Tribolium castaneum: one gene and its partners. The protein of the gene in region 1 interacts with the protein of each later gene in a pairwise test. Links are inferred from orthologs where the notes say so. Each region holds a gene or a part of one and is shown in the gene's direction. Other genes may lie near its edges.

The links.
Region 2: the proteins of Eps-15 (region 1) and Graf interact in a two-hybrid assay, tested with the Caenorhabditis elegans proteins (2 studies listed by BioGRID). The link is inferred for Tribolium castaneum from reciprocal best matches to the Caenorhabditis elegans genes ehs-1 and T04C9.1.
Region 3: the proteins of Eps-15 (region 1) and Src64B interact in a two-hybrid assay, tested with the Caenorhabditis elegans proteins (2 studies listed by BioGRID, with this or other methods). The link is inferred for Tribolium castaneum from reciprocal best matches to the Caenorhabditis elegans genes ehs-1 and src-1.

The regions. Positions count from the first base shown.
Region 1 is NC_087396.1:20,523,317-20,527,652, forward strand, and holds the start of Eps-15 (epidermal growth factor receptor substrate 15-like 1), read left to right. Parts: upstream 1-1,471; 5' UTR 1,472-1,555; coding exon 1,556-1,582; intron 1,583-2,079; coding exon 2,080-2,124; intron 2,125-3,689; coding exon 3,690-4,097; intron 4,098-4,146; coding exon 4,147-4,257; intron 4,258-4,336. Other genes in the region: uncharacterized protein LOC103314840, read left to right, coding at 499-633, 677-831, 878-1,421.
Region 2 is NC_087402.1:9,655,651-9,659,305, reverse strand, and holds part of Graf (rho GTPase-activating protein 26), read left to right. Parts: intron 1-846; exon of another isoform or gene 847-1,000; intron 1,001-1,093; coding exon 1,094-1,436; intron 1,437-1,482; coding exon 1,483-1,805; intron 1,806-1,853; coding exon 1,854-2,184; intron 2,185-2,234; coding exon 2,235-2,340; intron 2,341-2,388; coding exon 2,389-2,752; intron 2,753-2,806; coding exon 2,807-3,059; intron 3,060-3,655.
Region 3 is NC_087394.1:24,284,834-24,288,488, reverse strand, and holds part of Src64B (tyrosine-protein kinase Src64B), read left to right. Parts: intron 1-2,323; coding exon 2,324-2,630; intron 2,631-2,689; coding exon 2,690-2,943; intron 2,944-3,655. UniProt on the Caenorhabditis elegans protein: Non-receptor tyrosine-protein kinase which plays a role in endoderm development by controlling spindle orientation in EMS blastomere, probably downstream of receptor mes-1.

The DNA.
Region 1 (4,336 bases):
TCACATGGCACTTTAATAAAAATTAGTAGCAAATAAATTAAAAGCTTTAGGTTTGTGTACTGCTAATAATCTAGTCGAAAAAGGCATTCAAGGATAAAGTACTTGTTTATCTGCTCGTTTTTTTTAGGTAATACTGTTCTTCTTGTTTTTTTGATAGTATTATTTTGATGTTGAGAATGTTTTGGATAAAAAATCCTTAAAGCTGTCGAATTATTTATTTATATTTTTTGACAATAAAAGTGTGTTTCTTATTTACGTGCTTTATTTACCAAACACATCATTTATTTTAAACGTGGCCTTAATAGTGGATTAGTAAATTTTAATCATAATAAGAACTGCCAACCTGACAATAACAGACTTTTTCAAGGTGGCCAACTAATTAACAAAATAATTTTTTGTGAACTAGTTTTTCAAACCAAATTAAAGTAGGCTTGAATTCGAGCTTCAATTATCTCTGACAAGTGACATTTAATTATTGTTAAAAATAGTTTTGAGAAAATGGAAGATACAAAGTCCCTCTTAATGATGGTTTTACACAAAATTTTCCAAAACCAACCCAAAACTATAGAAAACACTTTTCAACTGATTCACAGTTACAATAACGGAAAAACAGATAAGAAAAACTACGAGAAGGTAACCACTTTTTAATCGAAAAAAAATTATTCCCAATTTTTAGACTTTAAAATCAATCTGCGACTTGATGAATGACGAACTACCGTCCCCAATTCTAGTCTACATCTTGACTTTAGTGGACATGCCCCAAGACTTCGACTCCTCGTCCCCCATTATCGAAAAAATGAAAAAAACGCACGACTTTTTACCCGACATCAAGTAAAAAAAAACAATTAATAAACACGCATTTGAATGACGCTTTTAGCGTGCGGCCCCATTTACTTGAATACTTGAACAACATAAAACCCTCAACCAAAAACCGGGACAAACCCGAAACTCCCGAAAAAAGTCGCCCCAATCCTGAAACTGAAAAACCCCTAACCAGTAAAGCCCAGTCAAGTTTCATCAGACCGACGAAAGTTTTGAGACGTGGTCGAAAATTAGTCCCAAAAATCACGGGGAAGCCCAAAAGCCTCCTCGACATTTGTGCCACCTATGTGGTCCAGAACGAGCTGTCTCTGAAGGGGATGTACCGGAAAAAACAATCAAACGCCTGGCGCTTGATCAACGCCAACGTGTTTCTGGGCCCCAGACTCAAGCAGTGCTACAACGTCGTCAAGGATTTGAACAAGAAAATGCGCTGGTTGCGTGAAATCGAGTCCGATAATATCTCCACCGAAATTCTCATGGAAGAGTATAAGAATAGTGACGTTTTTTTGAGGGAGCACCACATTTATGAGGCCCTGCAGAACGATCCGTTTGAATTATCGGGGGAGTGCGAGGCTGCGATTGAATCTTTGCTTGATTAGAGTTAGTCCGAGTTTAAATTTCGTGCCGTTCGGTTAATGTTGGCAGCATTTTTCATCTTGTTATTGATTGTAGTTGTGATTGGTCGAATAAAAACGTATTTACCAATAGGAAAACACTTGGGGCATTCGAAAAGATGGCTGCGTTGCCGTCACCGACACAGGTACTATTCGGTGATTTTGCCTTGATTTTGCGAAAATTCGAGTTTGGAAAAAGCCACAGTGTGTGTTATCAGTGCCTGATAGTGCCGTTGCTTTTTTGTAATTCTGAGTGTGCTAGATTTTACGCGAAAACCATTTCCCTTATCACGTCTCGACTGTGACAGTGGGCGGTGTTAAAGCATAATATTTTTATCAATAATTCATAATTATCATAAAAACGATTAGGAATCAGAAGGAATTGCCCTTTCCTGTGAAAAAATACACGATGATTGTACAATTCAACTGTTGAATGTCACACATTTTGGCACACCCCGAGTTTTCGTCAAAATTTGACAAATGTCAGTTTGTAATCAAAACTGCGAAAAGATCAATTAAAACACATTAATTCGTACGTGTAACTGTTCTCGGACAGCTCGTAGAGCACCAAGGCATGAAACTATGAAATTCGGCGAATGTTTGGCTCGATTTTAATATTATGCACGTTCATGGTGTGTTTCAGGTGGCTGGAAACCACAGTGCCATATATGAGGCTTATTACAATGTGGTAAGTGCACATTCTGATTCCAATTAAACGGAAATTACAGCCAAAATTTTGGTGACTTACCATTTTTTTGTTTTTGGCCCCAGAATTTTGACTAATTTTTCGAAAGCATTATTAATAGATAAACACAAAAAGTGCTATTGAAACAGGCTGCATCTATTATTTATTCACAAATGTTTTCAGATAAGGGGTGGTTGTGATTTGTTTTTTCTTCAAGTTGGTCAAGCTGTTCCTGACCATTTCCTAGAACTAATTCTTGACCAAAATTTTATTAAATAAGTGTAAAAGACCAAGCAAAAGGGCTAAACATTTACATTAAAGCAAGAAATCGTTACCAAGTTTGTGCTTCATACAAAGATCAAGAGTGTATGAAGAGGCACATTTTGTTAGAGATAGTGTTTAATTGTGATAGCAATAAATATTCGCTTAATTTTTTTCTGTTTTAAAAAAGTATTGTTTGTATTATAGTCTTCAGTGTTAAACAACTTTGCTAAATTTGTTTGCAAAAAATAATTATGTTTTACAAGACCATTGTGCTTTTGGACTTAATTTTTACTACACAATGTTGTCTCTGACTGAAGATTTTTTTGCATATCCTTTAGTTTTTTCAGTTTATTTTTGTACAGCTTATTATTTAGCTCTTGCTATTTTTTTTCACAATTTACTGCATTTGAAACGTTTTCTAAAACAAAATTTTTAGTACCTACTATTAATTCCTTTCGTAGAACAAAACCGAAATAAAATGAGAGTTAAACTACGGTTTTTATCGGCAGATTCTGAGGATTTAAGGCACTTTCCAAATTAATCAGAGTGCAGAGATTATTCGAAAACGTGTAATTGTTTTAGAATTCTAATTTCCATTTGAAATAGAGTAACTTTATTCTTCTCCACTTTGGAACACACGTTTGAACAAACTCTTTTCATTATAGGCTTAATTCCTTTTGAGAGACATACGATTGTGTATAATACGTATTTTTTTTTTATCTGAAGCTACATGTTTCGGCCATTGATTTATGTGGCCATCTTCAGGCATAAGTCGCACTATTATAATAAAAAATAAAAAAATTGGTAGAGAAGGATCTTAGTTTGTACTTTTACTTATTACTTGTTATCTTAACATGTTATGATGTAAAGTCTGAAACAATAATATTGCGCTTATTGTTTGAAAAAAGATAACAAAATTTGCACCACAGTTCTTCCATGATACTTTGAAAAAAAAATACAAAAATTGTTTAAACTTACTCATGATTCTTGTTATAAACTGATATTTTCTAAATGAATTGCATTATTTTTATGCAAGCTGATATCAATGCCTACAATATATCAGATTTCTATGCAGATGGCTTATCTGAAAACGTCGTGAAATACGAACATTTCGAAAATAAATAAATTTGATTTTTTTTATTTTTTATTATTAAAATTTAATTTACTGAAGTGGCCACGGATGAGTTCGCAAATGGTGCCAGTGTTGCTGTTTAATTAACAACAGATTTTACGTAACAGGGCATCAAGGCCAAATCGATAATTCCTCTTGAATAAGTGTGAGTACAATTGGGTGTTTGTTCCAGGTGGACCCCAACGGGTTCGGTACGGTGGGTGGCATGGAGGCCGCGCGATTCCTCAAACGATCCGGGCTAAGCGACGTAATCCTGTCGAAAATTTGGGATTTGTCCGATCCCGGTGGACGCGGCTGTCTGGACAAGTCGGGCATGTTTGTAGCTTTAAAATTAGTCGCTCTTGTACAAAACGGTAGAGATTTATCCTTATCGAACGTAAATGTGGACGTGCCTCCGCCAAAAATGGGAGACATTCCTTTACCCAAACCTGTAAAACCTCCACCTCCTAGCAATTCTCCTTTAATTACCTCTTTACCTCCAACCGCAGTCGACTGGACCGTCAAGCCAGCGGAAAGAGAGAAATACGATAAATTATTCGACTCTTTACAACCAACTAACGGACTAATCCCCGGCAATAAAGTAATACCTTGTTTATTTGTACGGAAATTTTGTAATTGTGTTATTCAAGGTGAAGAACGTTTTATTAGAGTCAAAGTTACCGTTCGAGACTTTGGGCAAAATCTGGGATTTGGCGGATCAAGATAAGGACGGAATGTTGGACAGACACGAGTTCATTGCAGTAAGCAAATACCTTTTTATTTATTTATTTTTTTAAGCAGTAAATTTCCAGACAAATATTTATTTTTAAGCGATTTCAT
Region 2 (3,655 bases), on another chromosome or scaffold:
ATAAGTGCCTGTATAATGTCTTTGTTTCAAATGTGTTTTTTATTATAAGGATGATGTGATGTTTTTAAGATTTTGCTTAAATGTCAACTTTTGTTTATAAGTCGAAAACAAAAAACGATAGCAGGATGCGGTTTTGACCAAAATTATTTTTTTTAAAAACGGACCAATGTGTCAATTGTTTTTCTCTAAACCTCTTAGTTTCGGAGATCCCCTATTAAGGACATCCAAAATGCAGCACCCTGTACAGTAAATTGTTCTAGCGAGTTGTTCAATATTGACCTTTAAATAGCTGGAAATTAATTGTTTCTTTGCTAAAGCGGTTACTTTTGTTGTTACAAACTTCATTGGCGCAGTCAGTAGTTTCCTACTGATGAACTATTGTGTGCTATCTCCTTTTTTATGGACCTTTGTTAACGAAAGGGAAAATAATATTACACTAGATTTAAAGTAAAAAAAAATGTAAATCTAACAAAAGGCTAATAGTTCTTAGCTCTCCGTCATTCAAACAGATACTCGTACATGTCCTGGTTGTGTTAAATTTTTTTCAGAAATTAAGTTTGGCCTCGTATATTGATCGGCGATTAATATTTTTGGCAGTTGGGGCTCCCGTGCCTCATTTCCCACATCGTTAAATTTTGCATTGCCCTTCGATCATGAGTCATCAGCGATCCTTCGCTCCTTTATCTTAATCCTGTCATATCCGTCCATGAATCAATCGGCGATCTCATTCAGAGATTCCGCGGGGGTTGTATCGTAAACGATGACGTAATTTGCGTGGGTGCGTATCGATTAAATGACGTCATATCAGCGTGCGTTTGCGCCTTCACCCACTAAGGCCTCAATGCAAGCCAGTTCCAAATTGACATTTTCCATCAAACCACGTTTTGCGAATTTCCCTAGTGCCATATCACTTTTTCACCATTCAGTGAAATGTGGTTTTTCCATTCGGCCGTCTCGTGAAACCGTCAGGATGTCCTAAATAAATTAGCATCGACAATGCGTAGGTGTCGAAAATTTTCGCGACTGACACGAGCTGAAAGGGATCTTCGTGTTTTATTCAATTACAAAGGGACGATCGATATTTTGTTTGCAGGCCGACGCTTCTGTAGACATGGCAGAACGCCACTTCTTCACGGCCAGCATGGAATACGTCTATCTGATCCAAGAAGTGCATGAGCGGAAAAAATTCGAGTTCGTAGAGACACTTTTAACGTTTCTGTTCGGATGGCTCACCTTCTACCACCAGGGGCATGAAGTAGCCAAAGACTTTCGGCCCTACACAGTCGACTTGCAACACAAAATACAAAAAACACGCGCCAATTTTGATGACTACAGCAATAAATTGCGGAAACGAATGGCCGACGTTCAACACTCCGAAAAACCGGTCAAAAAGAATAAGGGTTGCAGGGAGGGCTACCTCTTTCTTTTGGAGAAAAGTAGGTTTTAATGCGTGAAAACGCCAATAACCGCTTGGTTTTGCAGAAGCTTTTGGTACCACATGGACCAAACATTTTTGCACATATGACAAAGAAACTAAAGAGTTTACGATGTTACCGTACAATCAGCTAACAACCAAAACGGTAAGTTACCAGGGTTGCGTTTCATTCCTGATTTTTCGTTTGAAGATTTCGCCACCTGAAGCCATGGTCTTGACGTCGTGTGTTAGGCGAATGTCTGATTCCATCGATAAGAGATTTTGTTTCGATATTCAGTTTGATTCAAAACCTGGGGTTGTGTTAACCTTCCAGGCGCTTTCGGAGCAAGACCGGAAGGCCTGGTTGGATATTATGGATGGCAAAGAACCGGTATTTCATCAAACACAGTTTGATCAAAATTTGACACAATTATTCCAGACTTACACAACTCCAGGTGTTAACAAAGCACAAAATTCGGAAGAGCGACTCCTCGACGATTTAGGCATCCAGTTTGTGAAAAAATGTATCGAAGTGCTGGAAAGTCGCGGTTTGGAGGAGCAAGGCATCTATCGGGTCGTTGGAGTCACTTCGAAAGTGAACAAATTGCTAAACATGGGCTTGGATCGCAGGAAATGTGATAAATTATCTCTGGAAGATCCCCAAGAGTGGGAAACCAAAACCATAACGAGCGCTTTGAAAAGTTACTTACGGAACCTCCCGGAACCACTCATGACTTACAAATACCATAACGGGTTCATAGCGGCAGTCAGTAAGTTATCGTTTTTGTTGTTGTTCCAACACGTTACAATTTTTTACCAGAAAATGAGACCCGCCAAATGAGGATACACGACGTGCACACGCTAATCCACCGGTTACCAAAAACCAACTTCGAAGTGATCAAAATCCTAATCAAGCATTTAACGAAGTAATTTAAACCACTAAGCGCTTGGCAAACAACTAATAATTTTTGCAGTGTTTCCGCCAAATCTGACAAGAATTTGATGACTGTGAGCAACTTGGGTGTTTGTTTCGGGCCGACTTTGCTCCGGCCCGAGGAAGAAACGGTTGCTTCGATCATGGATTTGAAATTTTATAACATCGTTGTGGAGATTTTGATTGAAAATTATGAGAAAATCTTCAATAGTGAGCCTGATAAAACATTACCCAGCGAAAACACTTCGCCGCGAAACGCTGCACCGCCAAGCAACAACTACAAACATATTTCGGAGCATCCGAATTTCGGTGCTGGCGATGGAACTGAAGTTGTTTACGCTCGAACGTACAACTCGAATCATTCCAATCACGTTTCGCCCAATTACCGGCCGCAAATGACTTGTGTAAGTGATTATTGTTCTTGGTTTGGTTTAATTTGATTGTCGTTTTGTTTTTAGACTGTGAAGGCGTATTACGAGGAACCTCTCACTGCGAATATGTGTTCAAGTTTGTACAGTGTTCACGAAGGGACGAATGGTGGCTACCACCCACAAATGAGTCGAAGTGAACACATTGGACCTAATTGCCAACCCATTTTACACCAAAAATCAATGCAACGGTTCATACCAACAGTGTCTTCTCAGTCTGAAAGTAATATTCCAAATTTACCTAGTCACAGTCCTACGTACTTCAGACCTTTCAACCGCATTAGTAAGCAATCGCTTTTTTAAAGGTCGAAAGTCGGGATAAAAATTTGCACGTTTTTAGCCCGATTTTGCTTAGTGGCTTGTTACTAACTCGACACATAATGTTGCGTTTTTTAAACGGAAATCACCAATTAATTATATCGTTTGTTCTGCATTTTTGTCACTAAGTGCCTCACAGTAGCCCAAGGTCTCAAATTAAGTTTGCAACACTGAATAAGCACAGATAGGAGATTGACAATTTTACATAATTCACATCTTTTGTGTCGCCACCTCAAAGAAACTGTAAAATAAGCTCACCGCAGAAATTTAAAACATAAAATCTTGCGGTATATTAAGGAATGTTTCATAATTTTTTTGTCTTTCTCAACCGTATAACCACTTTTAGAATTAATTAGGTCAAAAGTGATATCATTTTTTAGTTTTTTGATGAGTTTATTTCGTAAAATTTTGCTACAATCGAGCTAAAACATTGCAAAATTAGTAACTAGCCGTCTAATTAAACCACCAAGGCGTGTCTTTGAATTATAAACTCTATATTTTGCTTAACCCAATCAAAAAACTTCAAAATTGGGTTGAAACAATAAAATTTTTGTCTTTTAC
Region 3 (3,655 bases), on another chromosome or scaffold:
CAAAACACAATAAACGAACAGAAAATACTTGCGATTAACACCGATAACACTTTCGACGACGTCTATAATTTACTGTCAATGTCAGTTTGACAAATTCGTGACACTTGACGGTGTTGTCGAAGTGCACATGTAAATTAATGTTAAAGGATACCACCCTTAGATAGCCCTTAGCTGTTTAAATTTGCATTGTTTTTGATAATTTTTTATAGCTTTGTGTTGGTAATGAAAAAATGAAATTGATGACGCACACGCAAATCGAGCTGACCGCCACTATATTTCTTTCCTTTTTTTGTTACTTACTTATGTCAGAGGTTTATGACGAAAAGGTTATAATTTTTGTCAAATGCATAAAATGACATAATTTTACGTCAAATTTAACCAGGGACGTAGGAAACGTAGAAATTTTGGGATTACTATTTAAAAAAAGAAAATAATTGAATACCTCTTAATATTAATGTTCACATTTCTGAAATTTTTCAATATTTATTTTAATATTAAATACATAACTTAAAACATACTTCAATGCTAAAAATGCTTTTCTTTCAGTCACAATTTTTAGTTAGACGTCCCAAAAATTGGTCATCAAGAACCCTTCATATTTCCTGTCGTCTTTTTAAATTTTCTAAAAAATGATATTGAAGGTGTTCTCGTATGAAAAACGTAACAAGATCGTGAATTCCCAATAACTTTATAATTTGAAACAAAATCTAAAGTTCACGTAGATGCTAAAGGCGGCCAAGCAGTGACAGGTTCAACTTTCCTAAAAATTAGAACCAATTTTGGGTTCAAGTACCTACGTATTTTGTAAATGCATAGACAAATTCCCAAAATCTCATAGATTTTGTACATAATATTATTTAGTCAATCCACTTTTCCAAATGCTTGTTAATAATAAACGTAAAACTTGGCAGGAAAGGTTCAATTTCTCTCTCTTTCATCGATGATTACCATTTCTTAAAGTTAAGGAAAAAATGTTTATGATGAAGAGTTTAGACGTAAAATTCTTATATTTACAAAGAAATCTCTTTTAAAATTTGGAGTTTATATAAAAAAAACAGTGAATTGACGACGACTGCCAATCTAAACCATTTCTAAACGCAGTTAGTCGACGAAAAATGGAAACGTTTTTTGACAAATTTATTTGACTTTTCGCCAAATTTCAAGTGTAACACCACTCATTTCTATCCCAATTTGTTTTTTACACATTCCAACCGACGTATATGAACCAAAATTTCGAAAATTGACATTCAGTGTCCCAACTCTCCCAATATTTCCTATATAATATATAATATAATATTCGGAAGTAAAGTTACCGTTGAGGGCGCCACTGAGCTAGGTCGAAAACAGTAACCATAAATGGCGGGAAAATGTTTATTCGGATATTTTGAGCGTTGTACGAATTTTGAGGCTTCACAATTATTACATTGCCTATGCGGAATGATTATTGTATCTTTGGTGGAAGAAACGAATGTTGACAAATTGGAGATGTCGAGGAAAACACGAATAATGAATGACTTTTTGGTTTACTTTCTTTATTGGAAAATTATTACAAAGACATTGAGAAGCCTACCTTTTGGCATAATTTACGTTTAAGTGTATTAGCAGTTGTTAATCTTAATTGTAGTTTTGTTGATTTATCGAAGTATTTCATGATTTTATCAGTGGAAAAATTCTAACCTAAAATTCACTAATTTATTGGTTTCTTGAGCCCAACTTTGTGTTCGCTGTGATCCATTACTATAGTCTTTAATTAGACAATTGTTTGATAACACTTTGTAATGAAAATTTAAATCTTTTTCACTTTTTATTCATTTTCAAATTCCAACAATAAACACTTTACACCACGAAAAACCGCAGAACCAAAGTCAAAGCTAGTATTTACCACCACGTACTTTTAAAGTGATTCTCTCCAATGTAAGCAATTAACACTATACACGCAAAATTGTTAAACAATTTACTAGACGTCAATTAAATGTGGAATTACGAAAATTTCGTTACTGTTTTCGACATAGTTCAAAAGTCATCACCAGAGGGCGTCTAGTTAATTTTATTTTCGAATAATATAATATAAAAAAACCAACCCATAATTATTTATAATTTCTTTGTAAATTTATTGCCACAAAAACTGTCCATCCAAGAGCACTCACTGCACTCGTGCTGCAAACAAGTTATTCAAGTTGGAAATTATATTTTCCCTCGTATTTTCCAAACATGTTGGGTAAATCATTATTGTCTAACGGTGTCAGATCGGGTGACCTTGGCGGCCCCAAAATGTTACTAGTCACGAAAACTCCTACATAAAATAATGAAAAAAAAATTCCAGGTGGTCCACCTCGACTGACAATCAACAATCCCTACACACCGGACCCTCAGCGGAGTCATGTCGATATAATAAGGAGTCGGCCGACCCCCACACGGCCCCCTCTTTCCGTAAAGGGCCGCGTGGTCGTGGCCCTTTACAACTACGAGGCCCGCGACAGCAGCGATGTCTCGTTTAAGAAAGGCGATCGCATGGAAGTCATCGATGACTCCGAAGGCGATTGGCTAAATGTGATACATCTCATAACCAAAGTCCAGGGCTACATCCCTGGAAATTTTGTAGCGGCCGAATTGAGCGTCGAAAGCGAAGAGTTAGTATCGGTTTTTCCTCTTATCACAACGGGAAATTGTCACATCCTTTGTCTTTTAGCTGGTTTTTTGAAAACGTATCGCGAAAGGAAGCCGAGAAGCTTCTCCTCGCCGAGGAAAATCCAAGAGGAACTTTCCTAGTCCGTCCTTCCGAGCATAATCCCAACGGGTATTCGCTCTCAGTCAAAGACTGGGAGGAGATCAGGGAATACCACGTCAAACACTACAAAATCAAGCCGCTTGATAACGGCGGATTCTACATTTCCACCAACAAAACATTCCTCACTTTAGTCGAATTAGTCAATGCTTACACCAGTAAGTTGAAACTAGAGTAGGGAACGAAACGAGGTACAAAATCGCACCCCAAAAAATATAATACGGAGAGTAGTATTTTTACTCCCGGTACCAGATCGTTTTAAATTAATTCAAATTCAATTCAATTCACTAATTACTTGGAAAAAATACAGAAATGTTGTGCTTTGCATTCTTAATAGACTGAGAAAAAGTGACGACCAAAATTTTCACGAGAAATGTGGGAAAAAAGTTGTTTTAAATTTAAAATTTGCGCTTCGTCTCAGATTTTTCAAAACGCTGCGAATACGGTTTAACTGTCAACTGGTTTTGTTTTTCCGTAGTTAAGTCAAATTGTCAAATCGCTGTAGGTGTCTAGACCTGATAAATTCAACCCCCTCCAGGTATTCTCTAGGCGCGATGTATTCTTCCAGATACAGTGTAAGTATTTGGGTTGCGTCAGTATTTAACTTCTGAGTCAAATTTGACCTAGCAATACCAGTTACTTTGGCGTATTTTTTGATTTCGTTTTGTGAAAATGTCCCGCTTTTTAAGTTAGCTAAGTTGGCAGACGTTTTCAATTATTTATGTAATGATAGTGGTAATAAAACTGATCACTGATCAGTAAATAATGATGTTCAAGATAAGTGACAATGATCTGAGATCATTGAAGACAGACCGGCAAGAAATGATAAGTCTCCTCTAAACAGGAGACGATTCACAAACTACCCAGGCA